2 linked regions of the Sus scrofa genome follow. Each later gene encodes a partner of the first gene's protein in a complex. Links are inferred from orthologs where the notes say so. Each region holds a gene or a part of one and is shown in the gene's direction. Other genes may lie near its edges. The genes, in order: BICD2 and BICDL1.

The links.
Region 2: BICD2 (region 1) and BICDL1 share a complex: the UniProt entries of both Homo sapiens proteins name them as parts of the tripartite complex. The link is inferred for Sus scrofa from reciprocal best matches to the Homo sapiens genes BICD2 and BICDL1.

Annotation. Positions count from the first base shown.
Region 1 is NC_010445.4:42,388,394-42,403,291, reverse strand, and holds the end of BICD2 (protein bicaudal D homolog 2), read left to right. Parts: intron 1-1,839; coding exon 1,840-2,274; intron 2,275-2,886; coding exon 2,887-3,894; intron 3,895-4,140; coding exon 4,141-4,292; intron 4,293-5,811; coding exon 5,812-6,121; 3' UTR 6,122-7,900; coding exon of another isoform or gene 7,901-7,906; 3' UTR 7,907-10,021; downstream 10,022-14,898. UniProt on the Homo sapiens protein: Acts as an adapter protein linking the dynein motor complex to various cargos and converts dynein from a non-processive to a highly processive motor in the presence of dynactin.
Region 2 is NC_010456.5:39,996,595-40,012,907, forward strand, and holds the start of BICDL1 (BICD family-like cargo adapter 1), read left to right. Parts: upstream 1-7,870; 5' UTR 7,871-7,970; coding exon 7,971-8,402; intron 8,403-16,247; coding exon 16,248-16,313. UniProt on the Homo sapiens protein: Acts as an adapter protein linking the dynein motor complex to various cargos and converts dynein from a non-processive to a highly processive motor in the presence of dynactin.

The DNA of each region.
Region 1 (14,898 bases):
GGTGGGCCAGGTGGGTTGGCTCTGGGCCGCAGCCCTGGCCTGACCCTCACTTGTCTGTCTCCATGTCAGAAGATGTTCCCTCCCTCCTCCCACACAATCCAGCCAAGGGCCACATGCCACTGCAGACCCGGTGTGTGGCAGCAGGGCCTAGCCCCTCCACAACCAGAAAAACAAGGTCTCTGGCTACATTCTTGGCTGGCAGTTGGCCTGGCCAAGATGTCCCAGCCAGCAAAAATGGGGGGGAATGGAAGTGATAAAGAGGTGACACCAAAGACCCCCAGAGGCTGGGTGTCCAGCTTTGTCACCTCTTGAGTGCCCATGGAGGCCACAGATGTCCCTGTGTCCTGTGGGACCCTAGAGCTGTCAGTGCACTCACTCCTCCCACTGTCTCAGGTTTGCCAGCCCCCTTTGTTGGTCCCTCATGTGGTCCTGGGTCTTGGGGTGAAGCCAGGTGGGCCTTGAGGAGCAGTGTGGAGATGCCCGTGTTGTCACCTCATGCCCTTGGATAACCCCAGCAACGAGACAAGTAGGATCACTTCCACCAGGGACAGGAGTAGGACAAGAAGGTCACATCTACCCACTTGTGACAGGATGGGGACAGAAGGATCACCCCCATCTGAGACAGGACAGGAGGGTCACCTCTGCCTGTGATAGGACACCCAGGTGGTTCTGGGCACTCAAGCCTCTCAAGGCCAGCCCCTGCCACCTACTTCTTCAAGAACCACAGCCCTACAAGGTGCAGACTTGGGGGACCTTTATCCCCGGAACCTCAAACATCAAGGACCTGGGTGTTTCAGTCCTGCGCGGGGAAGTGTGGGCCCGTGTGTTTATGCTGAGCAGAGCTTCTGTGCCTGTGACACCCAGCAGGGAGTGGATCTCCTCCCAGGAACATAGGCACAGGAGCTTTGCCTCTGGCCTCACAGCTGGCCCTCTGATGCTATGCTCATGTGCAGTCACACACAGGCCCTGGTGGCACGTGGTGGAGTCTGGCCCCTCCCTGGTGTTCCCCTGCCCCAGGCTTTGATCAACAGAGACCCTCTCAGTCCTGCCTCTAAGGGGTTTGCTTCATGTTTCTTGCACAGATATTATAGGATTATAAATTTGTTCAACATTGCCTATAGACCCTGATCCCCCACATCAAGCATCAGTTTCTATCTGCTCTTTCTTTGTCCACCTGCAAATATAGTTTCAGCAGGTGCAACTGTGGCTTCCGTCTGCCTCTTGCGTTCCTGAGTGGGCCTCTCCCAGGATGGGTTCTATGTGCAGCCAAGGCACATCCTACTTCAGTGGGAGCTTTAGTTCCTTCGTTTTGAAATATGATTAGTTGTGGTTGTAGTGCACATCTAGATACATATTTTATGTATCTTAATATATTTAATCAACTTTTAGTATTAATTAAGTAGTTTATAGAATTTAAAATCAGTATACACTTGGAGTTCTCTAGTGGTGCAGTGGATTAAGGATCTGGCATTTGTCACTGCAGCAATTCAAGTCACTGTTGTGGTGTGGGTTTGTTTGATCCTTGGCCTGGGGACTTGGGCGTGGCCAAAAATAGTGCTCTCACAGACTTGCAGAGATAAGAGCTTTGGTGTTAACAAAAGGGGGAAAAATCAGTGTACACTTGATAACATTTTAAGTCATCTAACAAGTTGACAGCGAGGGAAGTGTTCTCATTTCCACAGCATCTGTGGTGCTGAGCAGGTCCCATGCTTTTCCGCTGCTCACACATATGCACATGTGTCCCAGGCGTGGGCTGAACCTCCTCCCAGCTGTGCAGTCAGCACGCTGGTGCTTCTTCCTATCCCTTGTGCTTAGGAGAGGGTGGCCCTCTCTTCACAGGTGGAGTTCGAGGGCCTCAAGCATGAGATCAAGCGTCTGGAGGAAGAGACCGAATACCTCAACAGCCAGCTGGAGGATGCCATCCGGCTCAAGGAGATCTCCGAACGGCAGCTGGAGGAGACGCTGGAGACACTGAAGACAGAGCGGGAGCAGAAGAATAACCTGCGCAAGGAGCTGTCGCACTACATGAGCATCAACGACTCCCTGTACACCAGCCACCTGCACGTCTCCCTGGACGGCCTCAAGCTCAGTGATGATGCTGAGGCCCTGGCCAACGGCTTCGAGCATGGTGGCCTGGCCAAGCTGCCGCTGGACAACAAGACCTCCACGCCCACCAAGGACGGCCTTGTCCCGCCCTCCTCCAGCTTGGTTTCTGACCTCCTCAGCGAGCTCAACATCTCTGAGATCCAGAAGCTGAAGCAGCAGCTAATGCAGGTGAGTGGGTGGGTGGCGCCAGGATCCCACCCACCCAGGTCTCGTCAGAGCCCTGGGTACAAGTGTACCATCCCCACTGCCATCTGGTCCCCCATGGTGTGGCCAGACCTGCCTGCCGACCACTGGGACAGCACTTGCCTGATACTTTGTCAATGTTATGCACCTTCTTTTACTTATATTACTTTAAATTCTGCGTTATTAACTTTAAGTGGAACTGCAGCATTATGGGTGGAAGGTAATTAGGAGGTTTCTGGATACAAGATTGAAGTTTGGGTACCACCAGAGGTTTTCTGATGACCCTTTGAGGTGCCCAGGTATAGTTTCCTTTGCTGTGTCCTGTAGACATGTCACATCAGGTTTTCCCACCCCAGTTGACAGTTCCTAGGGTCTGTACCACAGCCCCTTGGTTCGCTGTGTGTCTCTGAGGAGGGGCTCAGCCCTGCAAGCATCTGGGCAGGAGGAAGAGGCATCATAGCCCAACATGTGACAACTCCACAGGCCAACAGGGTGATGGTTTTGGCATGGGTGGGGTCACTGCTGGGACCATCCAGAGATCCTCTGGGAGCAGGGACCCCTATGGGCTGTTGATGGGCCCTTTCTGTGCCTTTGCAGATGGAGCGGGAGAAGGTGGGCCTGCTGGCCACACTGCAGGACACACAGAAGCAGCTGGAGCAGGTGCGAGGGGCCCTGTCAGAGCAGCATGAGGAGGTGAGCCGCCTTACAGAGAACCTGAGTGCTCTGCGGCGCCTGCAGGCCACCAAGGAGCGGCGGACAGCCCTGGACAGCGAGAAGGAACGAGACAGCCATGAGGATGGCGACTACTATGAGGTTGACATCAATGGACCCGAGATCCTGGCCTGCAAGTACCGTGTGGCCCTGGCAGAGGCGGGTGAGCTCCGGGAGCAGCTGAAGGCCCTGCGTAGTACACATGAGGCCAGCGAGGCACAGTATGAAGAGGAGAAGGGCCGGCATGAGGCCGAGAGCCAGGCCCTCACCGAGAAGCTCTGCCTGTTGGAGAAGGCCAGCCGCCAGGACCACGAGCTCCTGGCCCGGCTGCAGACGGAGCTGAAGAAGATGAGTGACGTCGCAGGCGAGACGCAGGGCAGCCTGAGCGTGGCCCAGGATGAGCTGGTGACCTTCAGCGAGGAGCTGGCCAACCTCTACCACCATGTGTGCATGTGCAACAATGAGACACCCACCCGGGTGGTGCTGGACTACTACCGTGAGGGTCCAGCTGGTGCTGGCAGCTGCAGCCCTGAGGCCCGTGGGCGCCACTCACCTGTCCTACCCAAGGGGCCACCAGCCACAGAGGCTAAGGCCAGGGACAGCAGCCCCTCACCTGGCTCCTCACTGCCCTCACCCCTGAGTGACCCACGCCGGGAGCCCATGAACATCTACAACCTGATCGCCATCATCCGTGACCAGATCAGGCACCTGCAGGCAGCCGTGGATCGCACCACAGAGCTGTCGCGCCAGCGCCTGGCCTCGCAGGAGCTGGGCCCAGCTGCAGACAAGGACCGCGAGGCGCTCATGGAAGAGATCCTGAAGCTAAAGTCGCTGCTCAGCACCAAGCGGGAGCAGATCACCACACTGCGCACCGTGCTCAAGGCCAATAAGCAGGTGTGCATGGCGCTGGGGGTCCAGCACGTGGGCAGGTGGGAGGGTGATTCCTCACCTCCCTGGCTTCCCATCCCATTCCTGTCCTGCTACTGAAGGAAAACCTCCCCTCAGTGCTGTGTGGAGGGGCTGGTGCCTTGGAGGGCCCAGGGCTGGTCGGGGCCTCGGTCTGTGGCACCCACTGAGGCAGAGGCAGCAGACCCTTCTCACGCCTCTCACCTGCCTATTTGTTGCTTCTCTGACCTTTAGACAGCAGAGGTGGCCCTTGCCAACCTGAAGAGCAAGTATGAGAATGAGAAGGCCATGGTGACCGAGACCATGATGAAGCTGCGCAATGAGCTCAAGGCCCTCAAGGAAGATGCAGCCACCTTCTCCTCGCTGCGTGCCATGTTTGCCACCAGGTAACACTTACTGTTTTGTCCCTGCTCCGCAGCCCAGGAGCATGGCCCTGTGGGAAATTCCATTTCTGCTATTCGTGAAAAGCTAGGGCCCCAGTTTTGTCTCTACATGTACGATGAGAAAGTTGGAAACACAAAAGACTAAGCAGGCAAGTCCCTAGTGGCCAGGCTTGAGGCATGAGCTTTGATGGGAAACAGGCAAGTGGGCAAGTTACGTGAGCTGGGTTTGGGGCCAGTAACTGGCACATGAGGAGTTTGCCCCCCAGAGCTTGGTGGAAGTTTGTAGATTTAGAAGAAAGACTCCCCTCCTGGTAGTGGTGGGTTCCCACTGCTCCCCCTGACCCCACCAGTTGGAGTTTGCAGGGGAGGCAGGCAGTGTCTCTCTTTAGGCCAGTTCTGTGGCCAGGAAGCTTGGGGAGGTGCAGAGCTGGAGGCTGCTTTGGGGCCAGTCTTGGTAACTCCCTACTTGGAAGGGCATGGCGCCATCTGCTGGCCACTGTCAAGTGGGCACCAGGGGAGTGTCCCCTGGGTAGTCCTGGTGTGTCCTCAAGGGCTGGGAGGCTGAGGCTCTTATTTAAACAGGCTTGGAACTGAGTTCAAGGCCTTCCTGGCTTAGTGTCCAGGTGCTGGGCACTCCTTGCATTTCAGTGATGTGGGAGGAGAGGGGCAAAGAGGAAGAAACGTTCAGGCCTTTCTGGAAGCTTTCTCTCCTTGTGGGCAAAGTGGTAGGGTAAGGTCTTGGTTCCTCATACATAGTGTGTCCAGCCCTACTTCCTCAACTTGTTTCATTATTTACTTATTTATTTATTTTTCATTTATTAATTTGTTCCTTTTTTAATGGTTTTTATTTTTTCCATTATAATTGGCTTACAGTGTTCTGTCAGTTTCAACTTGTCTTATTTAAAGGCTTGACTTCTCAGATGGAGCTGAGATGGCAGACCTCTGGACAAGGGTTAAAACTTGCTAAATGGCCCTTGACCTTGGTGGGGAGGGGTGTGGGATGGGTGTGTCCACCACCCCTTCCACCCAGGCTCCACTCCTTCCCTCCCTCAGGGACAGACCCAGAAAAAGGCGTTTGTCTCCCAGCTCCTTACCCAGGTTGGGGGTACGTGGTACAGTTCAGCAGATGCCAAAGTGAGGTTGTTTATGGCATCCACATGTGCTTTTCCCAGGCTCTGATGGGCCGTTTGTCTCAGACTTACTAAGCACCTTGTTCTGAGAACAAGCCAAGTTCTGCCATTGTATTTATCCCCATATCCTGAGAGCCAGGTGACATCTCACTCCAGTCTCCTTCCCCTGTGCCACCTGGAGGCCTTGGAGGGCAGCCATCACCTCCTTTAGTGAAAACTGGCTTCCAAGAGCCCCCAAGAGAAAACTGAACCTTGGAGGGGCACTTCCTCTTCGCTTCCAGACCAATGAGCGGGTGAACCCCATTGAGATCCCCCACCCTCAGCATGGGGGCCATGGTCACATGCTTTGCTGGCTCTCCCAGGTCTCTCAGCTGTGCTATCACCTCCTACAGGTGTGATGAGTACATTACACAGTTGGATGAGATGCAGCGGCAATTGGCAGCCGCCGAGGACGAGAAGAAGACACTCAACTCTCTGCTGCGCATGGCCATCCAGCAAAAGCTGGCACTGACCCAGCGGCTAGAGCTGCTTGAGCTGGACCATGAGCAGACCCGGCGAGGCCGTGCCAAGGCCAACTCCAAGGCCAAGCCTGGCACCCCGAGCGTAAGTCACACCTGTGCCTGTGCAAGTGACAGGGCTGAGGGTGCTGGGCTTGCTGCCCAGGTGCTCTGCGGCGAGAAGTATAACATTTACTGCGATTAGGGCCATGAGGTCACACGCTGCAGCTAACCTGCCGCACGTCACCTCTCCGCTTCACCTCAACTAACCTGGCAGCAGCAGGACCGTGGTGCTAGGCTGGTCTTAACTGACTTATGCACAGGGGAAGAATTTGGCCTAGGCAGCCTGCTGCTCCATCTGGACACTGCAAGCTTTGTGTCTGTTTCTCACCCCTCGAGACCACCCTTCACAGCAGCTGCTCTCTTGGTGGTGGGCGGGGTGGTCAGGGGGGAGGGTTGGAGCCACATGTCCTTGCAAAAAACCTGGCTTACCAGGGCCCAGGTGCCATTGACTCTCACTGAGAGGGGCAGATCCTGCATTGAAACCTGCATGTTCCCCCGCATGTGTCTAATGCAGCTGTACTGCCCTGGCACCTCGACACCAGTGTTAGAGTTTCCATCCTGGATCCCAGATGCAGCCTTGGAGAACACTCTGTGCTTGGCACAGATAATGGAGAGAATTGCTTTTTAGTTTGTGCAGCATCTCGATGCAAGTCACATTTGAGACAGAATTACAGAATTTCTTCCCCCAGATTCAGAGAAAGAGCAGCCCTGAGCCCCACACCCTCTAGCTCAGGCACACACATGCGCTGGGTGGCAGTCATCGTGCTCACAAGGCACAGGTAACCGCACCCCGAGACCAGGGCTCAGCAGCCTCAGCTTCTCTTTCTAAGATCTGTACGCTTGTCTAGTGGCCTACAAGGTGACAAATAGGCAGGCCAGAGACCTGGGTTTTTTCAATGAGAAAAACTTCCTAGCCGCTGGCCAGACCTCTCTCATGGGAAGCCCATCCTCTTGTACTTAGGGTGTCCCTGGCCCTCAGCTGGGTTCTTTCACCCTCTGCCTATTATTAGGCCTTCCTCCCAGAAAGCGTTAGCCTGTAAGAAACAGGGATCTGAGGGCTCCCAGCCTGAGCTCGAGTTGCTAGTGGGTCAGGGCAAAACAAAGGGCTGGATCTCACAGGTGGAGCTGAAGCCCAGCCTGATGTGGGAAAGGAGCCTTGCGTGGGCCCAGGGCTGGTTCTGGGATTCATAGTCGGAGGAATATGGTTCTTGATAGTCTGTGCAGTTCCAGGGGTGGGGATAGGCAGGAAAGGCAGCCTTAGGATTGCCCCATTCTCAGAGGGGCACCCACACCAGAGCTTTAGCAGCAGAACTTCTCTCCATGTTTCTCTCCTTGTCATCCATGGGGGCACCAGCCATGAGGCTGCAGTCTCCCTGAATTGCTCCTTGCCTCCTCTCTCGGGCTTGGAGGGGGGTTTGCATTCCCTCTGATGCAGCTATCTGTCCCCATTCCACTCTTCCCCTTAGTTCCCCAGTGTCAGTCCCTTCCTACCAGACTCCAGGTGCTGCCCAGACCATCTTGGGTTTGGCCAATGGCTGGAGTGAAAATAGGCAGGATGGACCGCCTATGCCCTTCTGTAGGCCTGTCCCCTGCTCCATGCTGCTTTGCAGATGGGACATCAGGTCTTGGATTCCCCTCCCACTTGAGATGGTGTCAGGCCATCTCCCCTCCGCACGTACGACTTCCATGCTGGCCCTGCACACTGGCACACTGCTTTTGCCTCCTTGCCAAGCCTGACCTGCAGCTGCTTTCCATACTTGTCAAGGGTCTTCATGAGGCACTCAGGGCCGGCGGCCCCTCTAACACACGCAGGTCTTCTCTGCTGCCAACTAACACACTCTGGCCCTCACAGCTTGGTGAGAGCTTTAGTTGTCTGACGGGCGACCGATTCTAACACTGTCTTGTTTTCTCCCATTTTCAGCTGTAGAGTAGCTGCTGGGAGGACTCGGCCGCTGGCCCTGTCACATTGCAGCCCCCTCCCCTCCTCTCTCGTGGGCCCACACAGAGGAAGGAAGGGCAGCCTAAAAGTCCACTTAGAAACATTTTTGGAGATACCACTGCAGTTCTTTTCAAAATAGCATTCCCCGAGTTTTTAATGGCAGAGGAAAATAAAAGCTTTAATGTTGAGAATGCCGCCAGCTGCTGCTTGGAAAGGCCTTTGTACATGGGCTGAAGAACCTGCTTGGACAGCGACCACCAGGCTTGCTTAGGAACCCTCTAGGAACTCACCACTGGGGTATCCCTCTTACAGATACTCCTTTTTTATCCGATCAACCTGTGCACTTTTGATATTTTGATATTATATTTGCTTCCTTAATCCCTGACATAGAGATGGTCTCTGATGCCGTACTCTGTCTTGTGGTCCCGTAGTGCTCCAACTTAGCTCCCAACGGTGTGTTGATCTCACATCAGCACGTGGCACAGACGTGTCCTCCTAGCGTGTAGCTCCAGACTGTTTAGATGAAGGCTTCAGCCCAGCGAGGAGCCAGGCTAAGTGCATCCACGCTGTGGTTCAGCAGCCTTTTAGATTCCACGGCATTGTGGTTCATGTTTGAAATTACAGATTTTAAATGCCATGTTCATTAAGAAATCCAGGGTATTGCGATTCTGGGGTTTTTCATATTGTATTATTATTATTCTTAGGAATAGTTCAATGTAACAAGAAGAAAACTTGACCTTTGCTCTGGTTAAACAGTAAAAGGCACTTGAAAACAAAAAGGATAAATTATTGAATGAGTAGTATTACCTACAAATTCCAGAATTTTCTGGGTTTTAGGACATTGTGAAGCATGACTAACAGAATTTTATACAACTGTACCAGTGAAATTCCAAATTGGAATTGTTTTGTTACTCTGGTTGTTGTGCCAAATTGTGGTACACTTAGAAAATTCTACAGTCGTCGATTTTTAGGGTGTTCTATTTCAACACCTTTTTGTTAGTAATCATTGCCAGTAGTGCCTTCATCAGTTAAGGGAGGTGTCCCAGCATAGTTTATTCTCTAAAACAGACAGTGAAGAGCTAGTTGGGAAAGTTGAAGGCCAGTGTGGACCAATCGGTGTGAACAGGCACACACCTTCAAAGCTGAACCTGGGCATCTTCATTGAGGGAAAGAAAACAGCAATTGTGCAAAATTCTGTTAGTCAGTGATTCTTTACTGTGCAGATCCTTGCAAATTCAGGGGCTCAGAAAATGAAAGTGAATACAAACCTTGAGTGTGCTTTGGGAACCAAATGGACTTTATGGGACAAGCTGAACAAGCTGAACACCACACACCATGTTTGTGAAGAGGGGGGCAAGTGGCAGGGGAGCCGGCACTGCCGGCCTCATGCAGTGGGATGAGGGCTAGCCATAGTATTCTTTGCAAATGTGAGAAAGAGACTTCCTGTATCCTCTTGCTCGGTGTAACTAATCACTGTTAATTTCAGGAAACAGAACTCTCTAAAGCTCCTTAGCAAACCAGGTCTACGTCCCATCCTGATTTGCTGAGTGAGGTTGTGCGAATGGTCAAATTGGTACTCTCGGAGGAAGAAGAAAAAGTGTCCTCCCTCCTCTAAAATGCAGGACAAATTATAATAATATAAGTAGCAAAAATAAAAGATTCTGTTTCCTGGAATAGCATTTCTTATTCCTAGTTGTAAGGACCCCTATTTTTACCTTATCTTACAGTGTTGATTCATAAGGAATAATGTTACATTTACGAAAACTTCATCTGTATGGGGTATTTATTTGCAATGACGTCTGAGTACTGTATTTTTTTCTGTGCATTACCTTAGTGTCAGAATGTTGTCTTTATTTTAAGATCATATGCATGTCCTCCTGCCAAGGAACCTTTACACAGACCCAAACAAACAAAAATGCCTTCAGATTCTGAAAAAATGAGGCACAGCATGGAAAAAGGATTAGAAAGAAGAAATCAGGCACAACTTGGGACACAGACATATGGTGCAAATGTCTATAAAAGCCAGTGCACATAGGAATGGTGGGCCTGGGTAAAGGGTCATGTTGGTAGGACCGGTAAATAAAGAATAATAAAAAGACAAAGCACAAGACTTGTTCTCTGTGGCTGCCCTGACCCCCTGCTCCAGATAACTGTGGGTCCAGCAACACACTGTAATTCCAGCCTGTCATTAACCCTGGTGGTGGGAACTAGAAGCAACCTGGGGGGGGCCGTCTTAGTGGTGGGGGGTGGAAGGGCGGGTGGGGGTAGGGGGAGGCAAAGGGCAGGTAGGGGGTGCCTCCTGTGGTGGGCGGACCAGCAGCGTGGCAGTGAGAGCACATTGCCTCCACCCTTCCCTGACCAGGAAGCAAAGAGATTTGGATAACGTGGGATCCTTTGCTGTCTGAACCCAGGAATGAATGGATGCAGGCAGCAGGGATGACTTGTTTGTTGACACAAAACCATCTGCAAGAATGTGTTAAAGCACAATGAGCCCGGCCCAGTGATTGCTTGTGTGGTCATTGGAGACAGATCCTGTCTGAGGGAACAGGAAGTCTCAGGGACACTGCCACCCGCCGTCAGGTCAGAGTGATTTCAAGGACATTGCCACCCGCCAGTCAGGTCGGAGTCATTTCACCCAAATCTCAGGGCTTCCCTCAGGGAAGCTGTCTGAGGTCAAGGTCCTTCTGCCCTGTTATCTCCTCAGGACTCCTCCCTCCACCTAGAGTCTCCCCTGCCTCAGAGTCAGTGAGAGGCCCCTCTCTCTGACAGTCCTCCACCCATCCCATTCTAGTAGTGTGGATCCATGTTCAGTTTGAGACTTAGGTTCAAGAGACTTGTTTTTCCTAGTAGCTAACAGGAATCTTCTTTCCCTACTGGCCTGTCACCACAACAGCCCCCTGGACCATGTTGATAAGAGAGCATGCAACAGATCTGGAAGAGACCCCCTCCCAAGAGGAGGGGGCATGGGCAGTGGGCTGGGCAGGACAGGTGCCTTTTCAGGTGGGGATGCCTGCCCTTGCCACCCTCTGTGTGTGTAGTGCACTGTAGCCACTGCCCAGTCCTGCCTGTGGAGGTGTTTGGTTTGCACAGGCACAGACACCGAGGCCTTCCCTATCCTTCACCGTGCTTTGTGTCCTTGCAAATGTGCTCCATTTCACAGGTGGAGTGGCAGCCTCTCAAGTGGGTAGGATCCTGGGAAGCTGGGAGCCTGTGAGAGGGGGCACTTGGCACTAAAAAGCCTTTCACTCAGTCTTCCTTTCCAGGAGGGAATGTTCCCATTCCCCCCACCTCTTGCATCGCTCTTCAGTGGTTTTTTCCCCCCACCTCGGCAGGTTACCAGAGTTGGAAACAGACAGTCTCTGGCACCAGCTAGGAGACAGGCCTTTGGCCGAATCGTCCCCTCGTAGCTGACTTACCTTGCCTGACCTAACCTCTCTGAGCCTCAGTTTGCCTCCCCTGGTTTGGAGGTGATAGTTCTTTGCTCCAAGGTTCTACTAAAGCTTCACCAAGCCCTAGATAGCCAGCATGCATAAGGCACTAAACAGATGACTGTTGCTAATGTCATTCTTGCTGGCAGTGTCATCGCCAAGGTCTGGGATGCCATGGAACTGGCCTTTGTCCTGTGATGAGTGTGGTTTGTTGTTTTTTGTTGTTTTTTGTGGGGTTTTTTGTTTTTTTTTTTTTTTTTTTTTTTTTTTTTTTGTCTTTTTGCCATTTCTTGGGCTGCTCCGGTGGCATATGGAGCCACCTAGGGGTCGAATCACAGCTGTAGCCACTGGCCTACGCCAGAGCCACAGCAACTCGGGATCCAAGCCGCGTCTGCACCTACACCACAGCTCACAGCAATGCCGCATCCTCAACCTACTGAGCAAGTCCAGGGATCGAACCCGCAATCTCATGGTTCCTAGTCAGATTCGTTAACCACTGAGCCACGTCGGGAACTCCTGATAAGTGTGGTTTTAAGTCAACTTTTTACGAAAATAAAATCTGCGTTCAGGGAAGTGCATAATTCTCATATACAGTCCACTTCTGTACACACTGAACACAGTTGTGTGACCGGAAGCCCTGCCTCTCAGGAGTGCTTTTTGGAGCACATTAATGAGATGCCTTTGCCTGCCATGTCAAGGTGTTGGACTGCCTCCTGCCTGTGGGAGCCTCCTGGGAAAACAGATATGCCTACGTTCTAGCATTACCTGGCATGGTGTTTTAGCAGGTATGGGATGCCATCAGGTTCACCTCTGTGCCCAACTTTCAGTTGTGTCCAAACAGCAAAGCTGGAAGAACTTTGTGTTATCATTTTATTGAGTTTCTCGTGGGCAAGCATACTGGCTCTTGTGTGTTCACCTTGGTCATCCGTGAACTTGCCTTTGTAAGCCTAGGTCCCTGGAGTGGAGTTTCTCTGCTTCCCCTCCCCCCGCCCCCCAGAGCTCCTTCTCCTAAGCAAGCAAAAGGCAGTGCCACAGCACCTCACTTACAGAAAAGACCTCCCTGCATGGATACCATGAGCACACCCCATCATGGGCCTCTATGAGGGACAAATAGGAATCCCTGGTCACACACCACAGTCCCTTTTGTTCATCTCTTAAGGAATCATGGTTTGTTTTATTTACCCTGAAGTGTTTGTGAAGTATAGCACAAACACAGAGGAGTGCAAGCAGGTGTCCACTGGCTGAGTATTTGCAAACTGAATACACTGAGCAGCCATCATCCAGATAAGAAAGCAGATGAGGGCAGGTAGCCCTCCAAAGCCCCTGTGCTCTTTGCACCCACTCCCTCCCAGGGGTAACTCCCTGAATCTGTCAGTATAGGTCACTTTTGCCCATTTCTCTAATTTACATAATGGAAGTATACTGTAGAGACCCAGACCTAAGACAGATTTACTTTGTAAACTGCCTTGATTTCTCATACCATCATTGAGCTGTGGGTGACTCACTTTTGAGTCAAAGTATAAATCAGTTCTATGTAAAATAATGGAAAAAGATAGTCCATGCATACAGTAGTCAAAAAAAAGAATAGGAACAACTATATTAGTATCAGGCAAAATAGACTAATACAAAAATTGTTACTCAAGACAAAGACCATTATATAATGATAAAAGAGTCAATTGACCCAGAAGATAGCTCAATTATAAACATATATGCAACAAACAATAGAGCCCCAAAATACACTGGGGGTATTGGCAAATAGAGACAAATAGATCAGTGGGACACATTAGAGAATGGTACTGGAACAGCTGACATCCACATGTAAAAAAAATTAGTCTAGACCCAGACTTTAAACCCTTCACAAAAATTAACTAAAATAGACCTTAGACTTATATGTAGGACTCAAAATTGTAAAACTCCCAGAAGATAATATAAGAGAAAATCTAGATGACCTTGGATTTGGCAATGGCTTTTTCTTTTTTTTTTTGTCTTCTTCTGGGGCCACACTGGCGGCATATGGAGGTTCCCAGGCTAGGGGTCTAATTGGAGCTACAGCCGCCAGCCTACAGCAGAACCACAGGAACTCGGGTTCCGAGCCGAGTCTGCAACCTACACCTCAGCTCACGGCAACACCGGATCCTTAACCCACTGAGCAAGGCCAGGGGTCGAACCTGCAACCCCATGGTTCCTAGTCGGATTCGTTAACCACTGAGCCATGACGGGAACTCCGTGGCAATGACTTTTTAGATAAACACCAAAGGCATGATTCATGAAAGAAAAAAATCTATAAGATAGACTTCACTATGATTAAAAATTTCTCCTCTGTAAAAGACATTGTCAAGAGAATAAGACAGCCACTAACTGGGAGAAAATATTTGCCAAAAAAACCATATTTAATCAAAAACAAAATATACAAAAACTAAAATATACAAAGAACTCTTAAAACTCAACAATAAGAAAACTAAAAACCAATTTTAAAATAACCAAAAGAAGTGTTCCCTGGTAGTGCAATGGGTTAAGGGTCTGGTGGTATTACTCCTGTGGCTCAGGTCACAGCAGCCAAATAAATAACCACAAGATTCAACATGGAGTTCCCTTCGTGGCTCAGTAATTAACAAACCCAACTAGGATCCATGAGGATGCAGGTTCGATCCCTGGCCTCACTCTGGGTAAAGGATCCAGCGCTGCCATAAGCTGTGGTGTGGGCCGCAGACTCAACTCAAATCTGGTGTGACTGTGGCTGTGGTGGAGGCCTGTGGCTGCCGCTCTGATTAGACCCCTAGCCTGGGAGCCTCCATATGCCATGGATGTGGCCCTAAAAAGACAGAAGACAATAAAAAAGGAAAAAAAAAAAGATTCAACAGACACCTCACCAGGGATGATATATAGGTGGCAAATAAGCATATGATGCTCCATATCACATGTCATAAGGGAAATGCAAATTAGAACAATGAAATACCACTGTTCACATATTAGAATGGCAAAAAAGGAAAACACTGAACCATCAAAGGCTGGTGAGAATATGAAGCAACAAGAACTCTTAATCATGGCCGGTGTGAATGATGCAAAATGGTACAGTTACTTTGAATGATAGGTTAGCGATTTTACCATACAGCAGTAGTGCTCCTCGTTATTTACCCAAATGAGTTGAAAACCTATGTCTACACAAAAACCTGCAGCTCTATTTAAAATTCCCAAACTTGGAGTTTCTGCTATAGTGCAGTGGGTTAAAAATCCAACTGCAGGAGTTCCCATTGTGGCTCAGTGGTAACATAGCCGACCAGTATCCACGAGGATGCAGGTTTGATCCCTGGCCTTGCTCAGTGGGTTAAAGATCCAGCGTTGCTATGAGCTGTGGTGTAGGTCACAGATGTGGTTTGGATCTGGTGTGGCTGTGGCTGTGGCTGTCAGCTGCAGCTTTGATTCAACCCCTGGCCTGGGAACTTCCATATGCTGTGGGTTCGGTCCTAAAAAAAAACAAAAAATAAATAAAAAATAAAAAATCCAACTGTAGTGCAGGTTCAATCCCCAGCCTGGCACAGTGGGTTAAAGGAT
Region 2 (16,313 bases), on another chromosome or scaffold:
GGATCCAGCATTTTCGTGAGCTGTGGTGTAGGTCGTAAATGATGCTCAGATCTGGAGTTGCTGTGGCTGTGGTGTAGGCCAGCAGCTGTAGCTCAGATTTGACCCCTAGCCTGGGAACCTCCATACGCTGCAGGTGCAGCCCTAAAAAGACCAAAAAAAAAATCGTATTTCTCCCAGTCACTGTCAAGTATAAATTAAATTACTATTAACTGCTGCATTATTCCAACTATCTATCTTTCCAGAACATTTAACATGCCCACAAACACACCCCAGACACAAACATAACTACATTCTGCAGAACATAAAATTAAACCTTGACTTCAGACAGTGATGGTTCCTCTTATCACAGCAAGACACCAAGAAGTCCATATAGGTTTTTTACTAAGAGCAAGAAGGGTAGCAGTAAGCAATGATAACAAACTATGAAAAATAAGCAAAAGGCGTTTTACTTATCTACTAGCAGAAGTTTTTAGCTGTCCTGGCCACTGGATGACATACTGATTCTCTAATCAGTTTATTCTGAAACTGACAAAGAAAAATAAAGACAACATGGGGGGGGGATTCATTTAAGAAACAGTGTTAGTATGAGCAGTATCAGCGGGTATAAATAACTTGCCTGCCAACAGATTAAACCAGAATGTGATGCAGAAAGAACAAGACACAATAAATGTTTGGCAGATTCTTGAAGTGAAAAAGAACTAGGAAATATCTAAAAGTAGCTTTGGATGAATGATATATGTGTAAAACACATCAGTAGTGTGTTGAGGGCCAAGATCATTGAAAAGAAGCAGGAGTTTCCGCTGTGGCGCCGCGGGTTAAGGACCCAGTATTATTGCAGCTGTGGCTTGGATTTGAAAAAGAAGCAGCAGGTAAATGTGAACACAGAAAATTAAATCACAAATCCTTCTAGATGCGGGCATTGGAAGAACCAAAGACAGCCACAAAGCAGTTGTTTCCTGATGAATTTGAGCAATGGAGACCCCTAAGTCACTAGAAGAAGGAGAAGGAAAGTATGGAGTAATATAGTCAATGTTGGTAGCAGTTCAGTCCAAAACAGAGGAGTTTTGTTGTTTGTTTATTTGTTTGCCTAAGTGGTATGGGTCTATTATGGGCTGGCTTCCAGATGTGAATTCCTAAGAGGACCCCTGGGCTCATGTCACAACCTCTCTTGTGTATCACACATTTATACCTTAGGCAACAAATCCCATTGTCAGATTGTAGAGGCCTGCTGTTTTAGATCAGGGTTTCTCAACCTCGGTGCTATTGGCACTTCAAGACAGATAATTCCTATTGTGGGAGGCTGTGCTGTGCACTGCAGAGTGTTTAGCACCATCTCTGGCCTCCACCCAGTAGGTGCCCATAGCAACCCCCATTCCCAGCTGTGAAAACCAAAAATGTCTCCAGATATGGCCCCATGTCCCCAGGAGGCAAAATCACTCCATTTTGAGAACCACTGGTTTAGAAGATGAAGAGATGATCTTCCAACCCAGATGCGGAAACCAAAGCCCACACACCCTGACTGCCTTGCTCAAATGTACACAGCTGGTTAATGATGGATTTAATCCAGCAACCAGAACATCACTCTCAATATCTCCACTCTACACCAACTTTAGTCAGCTAAATGCCACCATCATGATTTTGCTATACCCAATGTCACTTATTATTTTTCTAGTTGACTCATTTTTTAACCTTATAAATTCGTCTTTAAGAAGAAAAGGGGAACTATACTCAATACTTTGTGATAACCTTTAATGGAAGTGAATCTGTGATCTGAGACTCACTTTGCTATAAACCAGAAACTAACATAGTATTGTAAATCAATTATACTTCAAAAAAAGTAGTGGGGGGAACAGGCATATAAAGGAAAAGAAGTCAGATATAAATGATGTGATATATTGCGGTGTCAGAAGGAGAAAGCTGTGCTCGCTTATTTTATGTATTTATTTATCAAGCACCCACACTGTCCTCACCATGTGCCAGGTACCATTTTAAGTACTGCACATATATGAAATCTTTTTATCTTAATAACAACCTAAGGGAAAAAGGGAAAGGGAGTGTGGGTTCAGGTTGAGGGCCAGGAGAGGACCTTGGAGGGTGAGGGGAGAGGTGTGAAGGGACTGCTAAGGGGAGAACCTAGAGATGGGAGGGCTGAGAATGAAGTCACTACTGAGTATCTGTCACTGAAGTTAATGTTTTTCCCTTAAAAATCAAGTTGAGAGTCACTAGAGGTACATTTGCAAAATGTTGAGTCAGTTCATCTCCAAAAAACATAAAAAGCTTTTGGGTAACATTTTAGGAATTTTTGAGACTTTTATGTTCTCATGACTAGTTCATAAATAAAATTTAAAACTTTAAAAAAATGCATACATGCTTAAAATTGCGGAATGAAAATAGCAAATGTAGAACTACTTTATCACATGTTTTGCCAGCTCCTCATGTTTCTTCCACACCTGACTTCAAAAACAAATTTTCTGGAGGATATTTTGTCTTTTACACTTTCTAGTTTTTGCAGATCAAGATGCTAATAAACTTGAGGAAATTTGATGAGTCTTATCATATTTGGAAATATCAGAATCTCTAAGGAAGAAAATTTCATGCTTTACCCTTAGTGATGTGACCGCAATCTACGGCATGTTAGGATGGGTCATATCCAAGTTTACCAGAATATCCAGGTACCAAAAGCAACACTGATGCAGATACATTATAGAGGAATATGAAAATGATTTTTTAAAAAAGGTGAGGCTGAGTAACTAAGAGCAAGTGCTTTAGAGTCAGACAGCATCATAGCATCATGTAGTACTATGTAGTGGTGTTCTATACTAGCATTATAGGGTTATTGTGGGGATTAAATGAGATGTCATGTAAAGGACTTAAGGAATTATTAAATGATGAATATATCAGTTACCATTATTCTAGTATGAAGCAGAATAAATGAAATAATAAGCTTCTTAGATGTCTGAGCTTCTTTTCATATCTTTGCTTGGATGGGTTTTGCATCCCATCATCAACTTCCATGTGGGGAGGTACTTGTTCATTCTTCTTAGCTTAAGGTTGACCTAATGGTCTCAAATAAATGATTTTCAAAGTGTGGTTCATTAACTCCTGAGGTCCCGAAGACCTTTACAGAGGGTCAGAGAAGTAAGCACTATTTTTGTAAGAGTTGCAATGATAATGATTCTAATTTTATTAATAACAGTAAAACTAATTTCATAATCTCATGGTAGTAGACAATACCAACTGTCTACTACTCTTTTTGTTTTTCAATGTTATTGACATTGGCATTGGTTGTGCAAAGGAAGTATTAGGGTAGCCTACCTTAGCATGATTCATGGCAGTGGTACCCAAGCATACTGGTAGACACATTATTCTTTACCATTATGTGCTCACAGGATGAAGAAGAAAATTATTTTCATTAAAGAATGTGCTTGCTGAAGCAGTCCTTTTTTTTTTCTTTTTTTTTTTCTTTTTAGGGCCATACGTGTGGCATATGGAAGTTCCCAGGCTAGGGGTTGAATTGGAGCTACAGCTGCCAGCACACACCATAGCCACAGCAACTCGGGATCTAAGCCATGTCTGTTATCTACACCACAGCTCACAGCAAAGCCAGATCATTTAACCCACTGAGTGAGGCCAGGGATTGAACCCTCATCCTCATGGATACTATTTGGATTCGTTTCCTCTGCCCCACAACTGGAACTCCTGAATATTAAATCCCAATACTTGAGTACACATCTTTTTCATATTCCATGTGATGAAACAGAAGTACCCATAAAGCACTTCTGCATCATACCTGAGTGCGTTGTTGTCTTGAGATTAAGCCCTTGTACCATCATTTGAGTTAGGAGTTGAACTAGTCACATTTTTCATGGAATACTGCTTTTATGTGAATGAATGATAGACACTATGGTATTCAGATTTGGGCACTTAGTAGACATTTTCTCAAAAATGAATGTACCAAGTCTGTCACTTCAAGAAAAACCATAGATGCTATGGTTACCAATGATAAAACTGAAACCTTGCAGCAGAAATAAGAATTTTGGAAAACTCATACCCACATCAGTGAGCTTGATAGCTTACCAATACTTCAAGACTATTCTGATGAGATCGGTTGTAATGTTAATGAATGGTATTTTTAAATATATAGTATAGGTGAATATGATAATAGAATATGTATATTCTTTCAGATTTTTTCCCACTATAGGCTATTAAAAAATATTGAGCATGTTTCCCTGTGCTGTACAGTAGGTCTTTATACTATTTATATTTTATATATAGTGGTGTGTATTTTTTTAATACCAAACTCATAATTTATCTCTCCTCTCCTTGCTCATTTTTTTGATTTGAGAATATATAGTTATTTTTCATTAAATACATTATGTTAACATATAACAGGTTTATTATACGTATTCAAAATAAATATTAAGAAATTTTCCATTTCAGTTTTTTGATACAGTAAATATCTAAACCCCTATAAAGTTTTTTGAGATCTTCAACAAGTATTAAGACTGTAAAGGAGTTCCCATCCTGGTGCAACAGAAAAGAATCCAACTAGGAACCATGAGGTTGTGGGTTCGATCCCTGGCCTCATTCATTGGGTTAAGGATTTGCTGTTGCGGTGAGCTGTGGTGTATGTTCACAGACACCATTCGATCTGGTATTGCTGTGGCTGTGGCTCTGGCGTAGGCCGGCAGCTACAGCTCTGACTGGACCCCTGACCTGAGAACTTCCATATGCCACAGGTGCGGCCCTAAAAAAAATAAATAGTACTTCAAGGAGTTCCCTGGTGGCCTGTTGATTAGGGATTTGGCATTGTCATTGCTTTGGCTGGGGTTCAGTCCCTGGCCTGGAAACTACCCACATGCTTCCAGGGTGGCCAAAAAAAAAAAAAAAAAGTAGTCCTCCAAGCTTAAGCTGGTCTCCTTTGACTTCCTTTCACAGGAGGATAGTACTTAGGGCCAAAGCTGTAGTAGCAAATGATCACTTCTTGGTCAGGTTAGGCAGGAGACCATTGTGAGGAAGGACTTTCAGAAATTAGAGTTGCACTTTAATATGAACTTTTGTTCATTCTTATAGTAACAGGCAAGTCTAATAGAGTGGGACCATTGAGTTTAGGGTAAGACATAGACTTCTGGGGAAAGATAGGCTGCAAGTCTGTATCAAGGAAAAATAAATAGCTGAAACTGCTTTTGATTAGGAATTCTGTTTGCTTTTGATATGTGTGTCCCTAATCTATTTTTAAGAGTAAATTATTGGAGTTCCCATTGTGGCTTAGCGGAAATGAACCCGACTATTATCCATGAGGATGTGGGTTCAATCCCCAGCCTTGCTCAGTGGTTCAGGTATCCGGCATTGCTGTGAGCTGTGAGGCAGGTTGCAGATGTGGCTTGGATCCCAGGTTGCTGTGGCTGTGATGCAGGCCGGCAGCTATAGCTCTGATTACTAGCCTGGGAACTTCCATATGCTGCAGCTGTGGCCCTAAAAAAGAAAGAAAAAGACAAAAGGAGGCGTTCCCGTCGTGGCTTAGTAGTTAGCGAATCCGACTAGGAACCATGGGGTTGCGGGTTCGGTCCCTGGCCTTGCTCAGTGGGTTAAGGATCTGGCGTTGCCATGAGCTGTGATGTAGGTCGCAGACTCGGCTTGGATCCTGCGTTGCTGTGGCCCTGGCGAGGGCCGGCGGCTACAGCTCCGATTAGACCCCTAGCCTGGGAGCCTCCATATGCCGAGGGAGTGGCCCTAGAAAAAAGGCAAAAAGACAAAAGGAATTTGCAGCTGGATCTCACCATGGGCCCACAATTTCTGCTCAAAACGGCATAATAAAATAATGTTAGAACAGTGCATTGTTGGAATAGTACCATGGTCAAACTTTCAAAATTAGCTCTATAATTGATGTAGGAACCCCTCTGTTGTCTATCTCCTTTTCAATCAAAAGAGAACAAAGTTAGCCCTGAGGCTCAGAACCCTTTTGGGATTCTCACCTTCAATCTGAGGGTAGAAAATGATGTATACACCTGAGTATCATTTAGGTCCTGAGTTTAACAAGGAGAAAAAGCCAGGAGAAACTATTTGACTAATTTCAGCCACTGGTGTCCTGAAATTTCCATCTCACTGTGATGAAATAAAGTATGATCTAACTCAGAAATGGGTCATTGTCCAATAGGAAAGGGAAAGAATAGGGACCAATTCTAGCTTCAGATGGGATTGTTTCTGAAAATAGGAAACAAACATCACCAATGAGGTCAAAGCAAAAGCTGACTGGAATCACCCAGCAGGATCTTCAGTTCTTGGTTTGGTCATTGCAGAAAGCTTTCCAGATAGCACTGTGGAATTAGACCCAGGCCATTTTGGTCACAAACTACCATTTACCTTTCTCAAGACTTAGGTGGGAGGAAAGTAAAGAATATTACCGTGAACCCTGGAATCAGCCTGCCTGGATCTGATCCTGTATCTCTCATGGCCTCAATTTCCTTGCCTGTAAAATGGGATGAGTGATCGTACTGACTTTATAAAGTTCTTGAGAGAATTACTTAAGATAGGGCATATAAATAACTCAAGACACGGTACATACTAAGTGCTTAATAAAACATAAGTTACGATCAAGGAGTCTTTCCTTTGTATTCCTATCTGTGAGCAGGTTTTCTGTCACTTCTCAACAGGACCCCTTCCTTTCGGGCTGCTGATCTTCAAGGTATCTGGTCCCTTATATCCCTGAGTCATCATCATTAAGATGCTGGGTTTCTGAAGTCATCCCTCTTACTGCTCTCTAGGGCTCCCTCTCTTGACTGCTTAGCTCTCGCGGGGGCTCAGGCCCGGAATCCGTGACCGCGAGTCTGTGTCGGGCTTAGCCAGTCGGGGAACTGTCGCTACTCCCCTTGGAGACCACCTAAGACTGAGAGATCCATCAGACACAGAGAAACGCCTCAGTCGAGAAGCCGGCGTGAGGCCAAGGGCGGCGCGGTGCCCCGAAGTGAGAACAAGGCTGGGGGCGGGGCAGTGCTCGGAGGTGCGCGTGAGGCCACACCTCGAGGTGAGCGTGCTGGGGGGCGGAGCCACACCCGGAGGTGGACGCGAGGCCGGGGGCGTGGCCGCGCCGGGGGGCGGTGCGGGGGGGCCCGGACCGTTAGGGATGAGCCACTCGTCGCCACAGGCGGCGCGCGCAGCCGCTCCTGGGCGCGAGGCAGCGCAGGGGTTAAGGCCGCGGTCGCCACCTGAGCGCCGCTGAGGAGACCCACGAACTGGCGAATCGCGCGCAGGCGCGGTGAACAGGTGCCCGCGCGCGTCAGGCGCCAGCAAGGGGCGGGGAGAGGGGGCGCGGCCGGAAGCCCGGGGCAGGGTGCGGCCCGCGGGGTGATAGCTAGGAGCCTAGGAAGGCAGGAAGGAGCTCGCCCGGCTGCGCCGCGCGCGATGTGGAGCCGCCGCCTCGGCGCCTGCAGCAGCCGCTGTCGCCGCCGCTGCTGCTGCTGGGGCTGCTGCCGAGCCGCGGGACATGGAGCGCGGCTGCAGAAAGCGGCCGCCGGCAGCAGCAGCAGCGAGCGTCGCAGCGACAGCGGAGCGCAGCCCTCCCCGTGAGGCGCTGCCTGGCCGGCGGCGGCAGCGGCAGCAGCAGCAGCAGCAGCAGCAACAGGGAGGCTGAAAACCCGGCAGCGGCGGCGGCGTTCCTCTTCGCAGTCTCTCTTCCCGCTCCGCATCCCCTAAGTCTTTCCTTCCTCGGCCTTGCCTTTGCCACCCCCACCTCTTACCCAGCTCGCGCTGAGCAGCTGAGCCCGGGGGCGGGGGGAGGGCGCGCGTGCCGCCGGCGCGGGGGAGGGGCGGGCCGGCGCGCGCCGCGCCCAGGGCTCGCGGGGACCCGGGGGGCGCGTGCTGCGGCGCGAGGCGAGGAGCTGGGCTCGGGGCGGCGCGGCGGGGCCCCTCCCCCCTGCAGCCTGGCGCGCGCCGGCCGGGCCGCACCGCTGCGGGCTCCGCACGCGCGGGCCATGTCCGCCTTTTGCCTGGGCTTGGCTGGCCGCACTTCAGCACCCGCTGAGCCGGACAGCGCCTGCTGCATGGAGCTGCCCGCCGCGGCCCCGGACGCTGTCGGGAGTCCCGCCGCCGCCGCCGCCCTCATCTCCTTCCCCGGGGGCCCTGGGGACCTGGAACTGGCTTTAGAGGAGGAGCTGGCGCTGCTGGCGGCCGGGGAACGGCCGTCCGACCCCGGGGAGCATCCTCAGGCCGAGTCCGGGCCTCCGACCGAAGGGGCCGAACTGCAGCCGCCGCCCGCCCAGGATCCCGAACTGCTGTCAGTGATCCGGCAGAAGGAAAAGGATTTAGTGTTGGCTGCCCGACTGGGCAAAGCGCTGCTCGAGAGGAACCAGGACATGAGCCGGCAGTACGAGCAGATGCACAAGGAGCTGACAGATAAGCTGGAGGTGAGGACGTCCCTTCTGGGATGGGTGGGAGGTGGGGGGAGGGGGAGCCCAGGCACCCCCCCGCTGGCCCTGGGTAGCCTCAGGAGTCACTCAGTCACTCGCCCCGCCCCACCCCTTCGTTGCTCATCCTGCCTCATAGAAAACCACCTGGAAGGGGGTTAGAATCGAGGGTTTTGGATTATCAGACTAGGGGATTGATCGAACTCACCTGACTTCGCAACCTGCTCCCAGCAAATAGGTCCACTCACTGCTCCAAACGCTGTGGGCCGTTCTATATAAGTAATGTACACAGCGTCTAAAATAGAGCTTACAGTATGACTAATTCATACAACACTGAGGTGATGTCTGCACAAAGAGAAATTAGAAAGTCGGGAAGCATTTAAAATATGCTCCAGGTTTTCAGAGAAGTAGGTAATCGCTAATCAGGGTGTTAGCCTAAAGCTTTCCAGCTTTGGCGTTAAGGCCTCCAGATGCCCTTGTCTCAACTTCCCGGCTGCTCAGAGTTGTGGGAAACAAGTGCCCCTAAAGGAGCTTTATATAGCCTTCAAATACTCGGGGATTAGGAAATAAGGTTCCATTGCAGAAATCAGGCGAGTCTGATTGGGCTCAACATGTGACGGTTGCGTGTTTGATTTGGGCCTCAGTGTTTGTATTTAAATGATACTTTTCTGTTTCTGTTCTGGGTCTCACGTGTAATTGGATGGCCACATGCATCCTATGGGAACCATCTAACTTTATTGTTGTAAATATCCCTTAAATTATGTATAAGATTTCTGCCAGTCCTCTGGACCAAAGTCTTTTGCAGCTATGCCCTTTTTTTCTTGCCCTTAACTAGAAAAGGGCAATGAAAGTGGTACAGATGGCCACCATTTCTAAAAATTAGAGATTTAAAAAAAAAAAAGTGAGAGTGGGGGTGGTGCATCTTTGGCACTGGGGATGAGTTTATCTTTTTCTGCCTGTGCATTTCCTATTGTTACTCAGTTTAGCTGCAACCAGTTCTTTTTATTCTTAGTTACAAGAGAGCACAGCCCCGAGTAAGGGGTCTGAAAATGATCGTAGTGGAGTTCCATATCACTGCTACTGTCCAATATTCAGAATGTAGATTCAGAAACTTTTCTATAATAAGTGTATCTGTAGTCCAGCGACATATCAGAAGTAAATAAGGAAGGAAAAAAGGGAAACCAATGAGTGCCCTGTAGTTCAGTTAGCCTGTTAACTAGGTCTGCCAGTCGATGAACTCCTGAGATACTTCTTTGAAAAGTGGTTTGTGAAACCTATAGGTAGACTGCCAAAAAGCAACCCAATGAATTGAATTGTTTAATTTTTACTTGAAGTAAAGGTCTGGAAATAAAAGGGTGTCTTTTATTTTTTAAAGGATTCAGTTACAGACTCTATATAGAAGTATTGTTGCAGAGATTTATGCTTGTGATTTGTTTGAAATTTCTTCAGTGAGGGACCTGATTAAAGAGACAGCTAACTTGAACATCATACCAATCAGTGTGATTCCTGATTTCAGGGAAATTCTGAGTGTGTGGTTACACACATCCTGGGTTCCATTTGGAACCTGTGTACTAATGTCTTCAACAAAGGAAAAAGATTTCAAATTCTGTAGCAAGAAGGGTTCTATTGTAAAAGAAGAAACTACATTTGACTTTTTGCTTTTGACTTGATAAACACGATAAAATAGTTTAAAACTCTGAACTATTTTTTAAAAACTTCACTCCTTTCAGGTCAGCGTATGAACTCTAGTGTTAAAATTATTTTTAATTTCTGGAGGTTGGTCGCACAACACTGTGAATTTAATTAACACTGAACCAACAGTGCAGTTAAAAATGGTTAAGATGGTAAATTTTGTGTTATGTATACCTTACCACAATTTTTAAAATAATGTTTTTTAAGTTTATTTTTAAAAAGTAAAATATGGGGAGTTCCCGTCGTGGCTCAGTAGTTAACAAACCTGACTGGTGACCATGAGGTTACAGGTTTGATCCCTGGCCTTGCCCAGTAGTTAAGGATCCGGCGTTGGGGTGAGCTATGGTGTAGGTCACAGACACAGCTGGGATCCTGCATTGCTGTGGCTATGGTGTAGGCTGGCAGCTACATCTTCGTTTCAACCCCTATCCTGGGAACCACCATATGCTGCAGGTGCAGCCCTAAAAAGACAAAAAAAAGTAAAATATTGATCATTAATCAATATTAATAAGTTATAAGGGGGTTCAGTTATACTACTACTTCTAGGTATGTAAAAATTATTAAAAATTGTTAGTTTTTAAAAAGGTATATTAAAAATATCAAAATATTGTCATTAATTCCTGGTTAATTCTTTTAGTATTCATATGAGAGTGACAACTCTGATTAACAGGGAACTATTTCATTTGATACTTGGAAGTGAAATTTTTCCTTGCAAATTATACCTGCAAGTAAATTTTTTTTCCTTTTTTTGGTCTTTTTGTCTTTCTAGGGCCGCACCTGTGGCATATGGAGGTTCCCAGGCTAGGGGTCTAATTGGAGCTGTAGCTGCCAGCCTATGCCACAGCTACAGCAACACCAGATCTGAGCCTCGTCTGCGACCTACACCACAACTCATGGGCAACGCCAGATCCTTAACCCACTGAGCGAGGCCAGGGATCGAACACGCAAACTCATGGTTCCTAGTTGGATTCGTTTCTGCTCCGCCACGACAGGAACTCAAGTAAATTTTTTTAAGCAGCCTAGATTTTAGAATGTCTGGTTGGACAAATTCTAAGGTTTAACATAGCCAGTGTGCTAGCGTTTCAAATAAATTCAGTATTTAGGAGTAGAGAGCCATTCCTTATTTTAAAAATCATGCATAGTTTTCTACAGACTATCAGACAGTGGAGTCAAACATTTTCTCATGGGTTAGTTTGAAAGATAAACACATGAATGGACCAGAGAATGCTGGTTTGACTATTAAACAATGAGCCTGGTTATGTTTTAGTCCCATCTGCTTCCTTACAACTTTAGAATTGACCCCTTTCTAACTTCAAGACCAACAAGTCATTTTCAAGATCTTTTCTCCCTATTTTTTTGTTAATATTGACTACCTCTCCAGTTCTGTGCCTCAAACTCAAGGTTTTGTTTCTTCATTTAAGACAGAAAGTACTTGATCTTACACTACTTTCTCACTAAAGGTATGCTCTTTTTAAAGTTTTTATTGGTTTAAAGATTAACATAGAAGTTTTTTTTGTTTTTTTGTTTGTTTTTTGTCTTTTTGCCTTTACTTGAGCCACTCCCACAGCATATGAAGGTTCCCAGGCTAGGGGTCGAATCAGAGCTGTAGCCAGTGCAGGATCCGAGCCGAGTCTTCGACCCACACCACAGCTCACGGCAATGCCAGATCCTTAACCCACTGAGCAAGGCCAGGGATCGAAAACGCAACCTCATGGTTCCTTGTCAGATTCATTAACCACTGCGCCACAACAGGAACTCCTAACATAGAAGTTTTGTTATGCTTCTCTTAGGGTTAAAATGAATCTTCATTTTAACTTGAGAGACTGTGAGGTTTTTATTATTTTTTCCACCCTTAAATTGACTATACTGTATTTCATGCCCTGAACTAGATTTTCATATGCTCAAGTATCTGAAAGCATTTTTAAAAATTTATTTCTTCTGCATCTACAATTAGCCATTTTGCTTTTAAAACATTCAGCCATACCCTTAGATATTTTCCCCCAAGAATATGAACTAAGACAATAACTTGCATTTATACACTTTTTTCATCAGAGATTGTTTATCTAGTTTTTTAAAATATATTTTTAATATGCAGGCTCCCCTTTCTCCCTGTTCTGAGTGAATTATCTCTTACTTCAGAGGTAGTCTTTTCCCTCAATTGCATTTTCTTCCCCCTTCTCTAGGCCAATTCTGAGGATTCTATCACTATTTTTTTTAAGAGGCAGAACAAATAAGGTGAAAATGATTACCTAATTGGCTAGTAGACTTAGGTAAGCAAATACAGGGATCCTTATTTGCATTCAGTGCTTGGTCCACATACAAATATTTTTTCTTTGTGTATTTCAAGAACCTTAGCCTTGATTTAGAGAATAGTATTGCTTTTTCGGTTCTTTGCAGAAATCCATTTCTGTAGCAGCCAATTTTAGGTGGGCTAATGATACTTATGTTTTTTCAAAAATCTTGAACTTTTTAAGAATTGTTTTAGATTTTTTAAATTTACAGAAAAATTGGAAAGATAGTACAGAGTTTCCATATACCCTACCCCCAGTTTCTCTGTTATTAACATCTTACATTTAGCATGGTATACTTGTCATAATTAGCGAACCAATAGTGCTAAGTTATTATTAGCTAATGTCCTTAGTTTATTCAGATTTTCTTAGCCTTTATCTAATGTCTTTTTCTGTTCCAGGATATCGCATTACATTTAGCTTCTGTATCTTCTTAGTCTGCTCTTTGCTGTAGCAGTTTCTTAGACTTTCCTTGTTTTTGATGACCTTGATAGTTTTTGTGTGTATGTGTTCTTTTTTAAAAAAAAAAAAAATTTAGTTGATTTACAGACCTTGATAGTTTGGGCATTAACTTTTTTTATTGAGGTATAACTGACATTGTATTAGTTTCAGGTGTAGATATTAACTTTAAAATAACATATAACCCCGAGAAACAAATAGCATGGGCAGAGGCTGACCTCCACACCTGCTGATGTTCTACCTAGAGTTTACTGGTTAATTTAGCACTTAATCGAAAATAAAATTCCAGTAGAAACTTAACTTTTTTCAGAGTAGACAAAAGGCTAAATTCATTATTTAGTATTTTCATTAACAGGTAAGTGTTGATTTTTTTTCCCCCCAGGGTGTGAGGAGACCTGAATTAGGAAGTTTGTCACACGCTCAAAGAAATTTAAGAACAGAATAGACTGATCAGCACCACCTGTCCTCAACCCTGCACCCCCCCCACCACCACCACCCCGGCCCCGCAAGTGGATTGGATTGTTTTAGTTGCTTGGTTGAGCTGTTCACTAACAGCTGTTTGCTGAATATTTTTAAGTCTCTCTGTTCTTTTAGAACACAAGCCTAATTTATCTGGCCTCTCACTAACACTGTGATTACTGAGTTCTTGCTGTTGCCTTCTGCTCAGTCTTTTCCATTTTGGAAAAACTCAATAAAACCAAGTATCACAATTTTAGGATTGCAATTAGCACTTGCTTCTGTATATCATCTTTCTGAAGTTTGTACAGTGATTAAAACATTCTCATTTTTGGAAGTTTACAAAATGAGGGCAGCATAGAGCAGGAAATTCTCTTGCTAAGGAGTTCAAGTCCCTCTTTTGTCAATCCTTTTCCCATGTGCTCCAAACTGAGGCCATATAAAGTTAACTATAATGTGACTCTCAACAAACACACCAGAGTGGCTATATCCAATTTTTTTTTTGTCCTTTTAGGGCTGAACCCATGGCACATGAAAGTTCAGGCTAGGGGTTGAATCAGAGCTGTAGCTGCTGGCCTATGCCACAGCAACGTCAAAACATTAACCCACTGAGTGAGGCCAGGGATTGAACCCGAGTCCTCATGGATACTAGTCGGGTTCATTACCGCTGAACCACGGGAACTCTTATATCCAAATTTGTTATTCCCTTGAAGTGGTCAACTTTGGAGAAACATGCGTTTATTTCATTGAGAACTGCCTTTGCTAGTGTGCTCAGAATTTTAATTGTTCTGACTGCTCCATCATGGTAAATTTTCATCTTTTGGGGGTAAATTAGACTCTCAGAAACATTCACAAGTCACTCAGAGCAAATCAGGGGAAATGGAATAATCTCTTTTTAGATCTATCTCATATGTGAAGTAATGGAACTGATTTTCTTGTAAATGTATGCGGGCCCTTAAGGCTTTCCAAAAGAGGAATTCCAAGAAAATTTGTAAGGTTAGAACTTGGATAGAATAAGAACATAGGTTTGCAAGTGAAAAAATGTCTGAGTACTCAGAAGAAGATACAAATGTTCATGTTAGCATGTTGAAACAATTTCAGTGCTTGGTGTCAACCTTCATTGCCTTAAAAATTCCTGTAGAGCTTAGAAAGATAGATCCATCCCTAGGCCAATCTTTGGAAGTGATGTTCAGGTGGATATATAACATTTTCTGATAGCACCAAAAGTTTAGGACTGTTGCTTTACATTTCAGTACTCCCTGAGGTATAGACTTGGCTTTTTTGTATGTTTGTATACATATTTGTATAATATACTTCGTAAGGAAGAGAACATACTTGTTTCTGAAAAGAGGCATTCTTATATCACAGAAACAGAAAGATGTTCTTCCTTCAATCCAAATGATTATTTTCTGAACTGCTACTTCAAACCTTGTGTACTTTTCCTGCATACCATTTGTCATAATGTACAATTTATTACTTTTATCACCCTCTCCCTATAGAATGGAAACTCCATAAAGGCAAGCAAGCATCATGTCTGTTTTGCTCATTACTGTGTCAGTGGTGTGTCCATAACAGGCTTTCAAGAATGAATGAAAGCCCACTCCTGGGCATCTATCCAGAGAAAACCATGACTCAAAAAGACATAAGTACTCTGGTGTTCATTGCACCACTGTTTACAAAAGCCAAGACGTAGGAACAACCTAAATGTTCTTGGACAGAGGAGTGGATGAAGATATGGTACATATACAATAGAATATTACTTGGCCTTTAAAAGGAAAGAAATAATGGCATTTGTGGGAGTTCCCATCGTGGCGCAGTGGTTAACGAATCCGACTAGGAACCATGAGGTTGCGGGTTCGGTCCCTGCCCTTGCTCAGTGGGTTAACGATCCGGCGTTGCCGTGAGCTATGGTGTATATTGCAGACGCGGCTCAGATCCCGCGTTGCTGTGGCTCTGGCGTAGGCCAGTGGCTACAGCTCCGATTTGACCCCTAGCCTGGGAACCTCCATATGCCATGGGAGCAGCCCAAGAAATAGCAAAAAGACAAAAAAAAAAAAAAAAAAAAAAAAAGAAATAATGGCATTTGTAGCAACATGAATGGACCTAGAAGTTATCGTGCGAAGTGAAGTTAGACAGTGAGGCACCAGTGTCAGATGCTGCCACTTACATGTGGAATCTTAAAAAAAGGACACAATGAACTTCCTTGCAGAACAGATACTGACAGACTGAAAAACTTATGGTTTCTGGAATGGATTAGCAATGAGATCCTGCTGTGTAGCACTGAGAACTACATCTTAGTCATTTTATGATGGAGCATGATAATGGGAGAAAGAACAATGTATACATGTATGTGTAACTGGGTCACCATGCTGTACAGTAGGAAATAAATGGGTAAATAACAAGAAAAAATGTTTAAAAAAAAAATTATGGTTTCCAGAGGAGACAGGTTGGCAGGGATGGGGTGGAGGTATGGGCTGGGGGTTTGGAATGGAAATGCTATAAAATTGGGTTGTGATGATCATTGTACAACTATAAATGTAATAAAATTCATTGAGAAAAAAGAATGAATGAAAGGATCAGAAATAAATATGCAGGACTAATAGGTCATGATTTAATAAATGTAGACCTGAATTTGAAGTTGCCTTAATGATTTTGAAATACAGTGCTGTATATAGCAACAAATGTTTATTGAATTGTCATTTAGAGCATTAAACAGTCTTAACATTAAATATTTTCATTAGGAATGGCATTCTCTTTGTTAAACCAATCTTCTCATCTCTGAAAGAAGGGAATACTTTTGCAGCTGTGAAATGGGCAACTTTTTCTACGTAGCAGAGTGTTTTGTTGTGCTGACTAGGAAAAAGAAAAGTTAAAAGAAGTGAAAAGAGGAAAAAAATGAAAGGCCCTGGAGTTTTTAACATATTTAAAATCTTCTTCATTTTTTATCCAGCACTTAGAACAAGAGAAACATGAACTAAGAAGACGATTTGAGAACCGAGAAGGGGAGTGGGAAGGG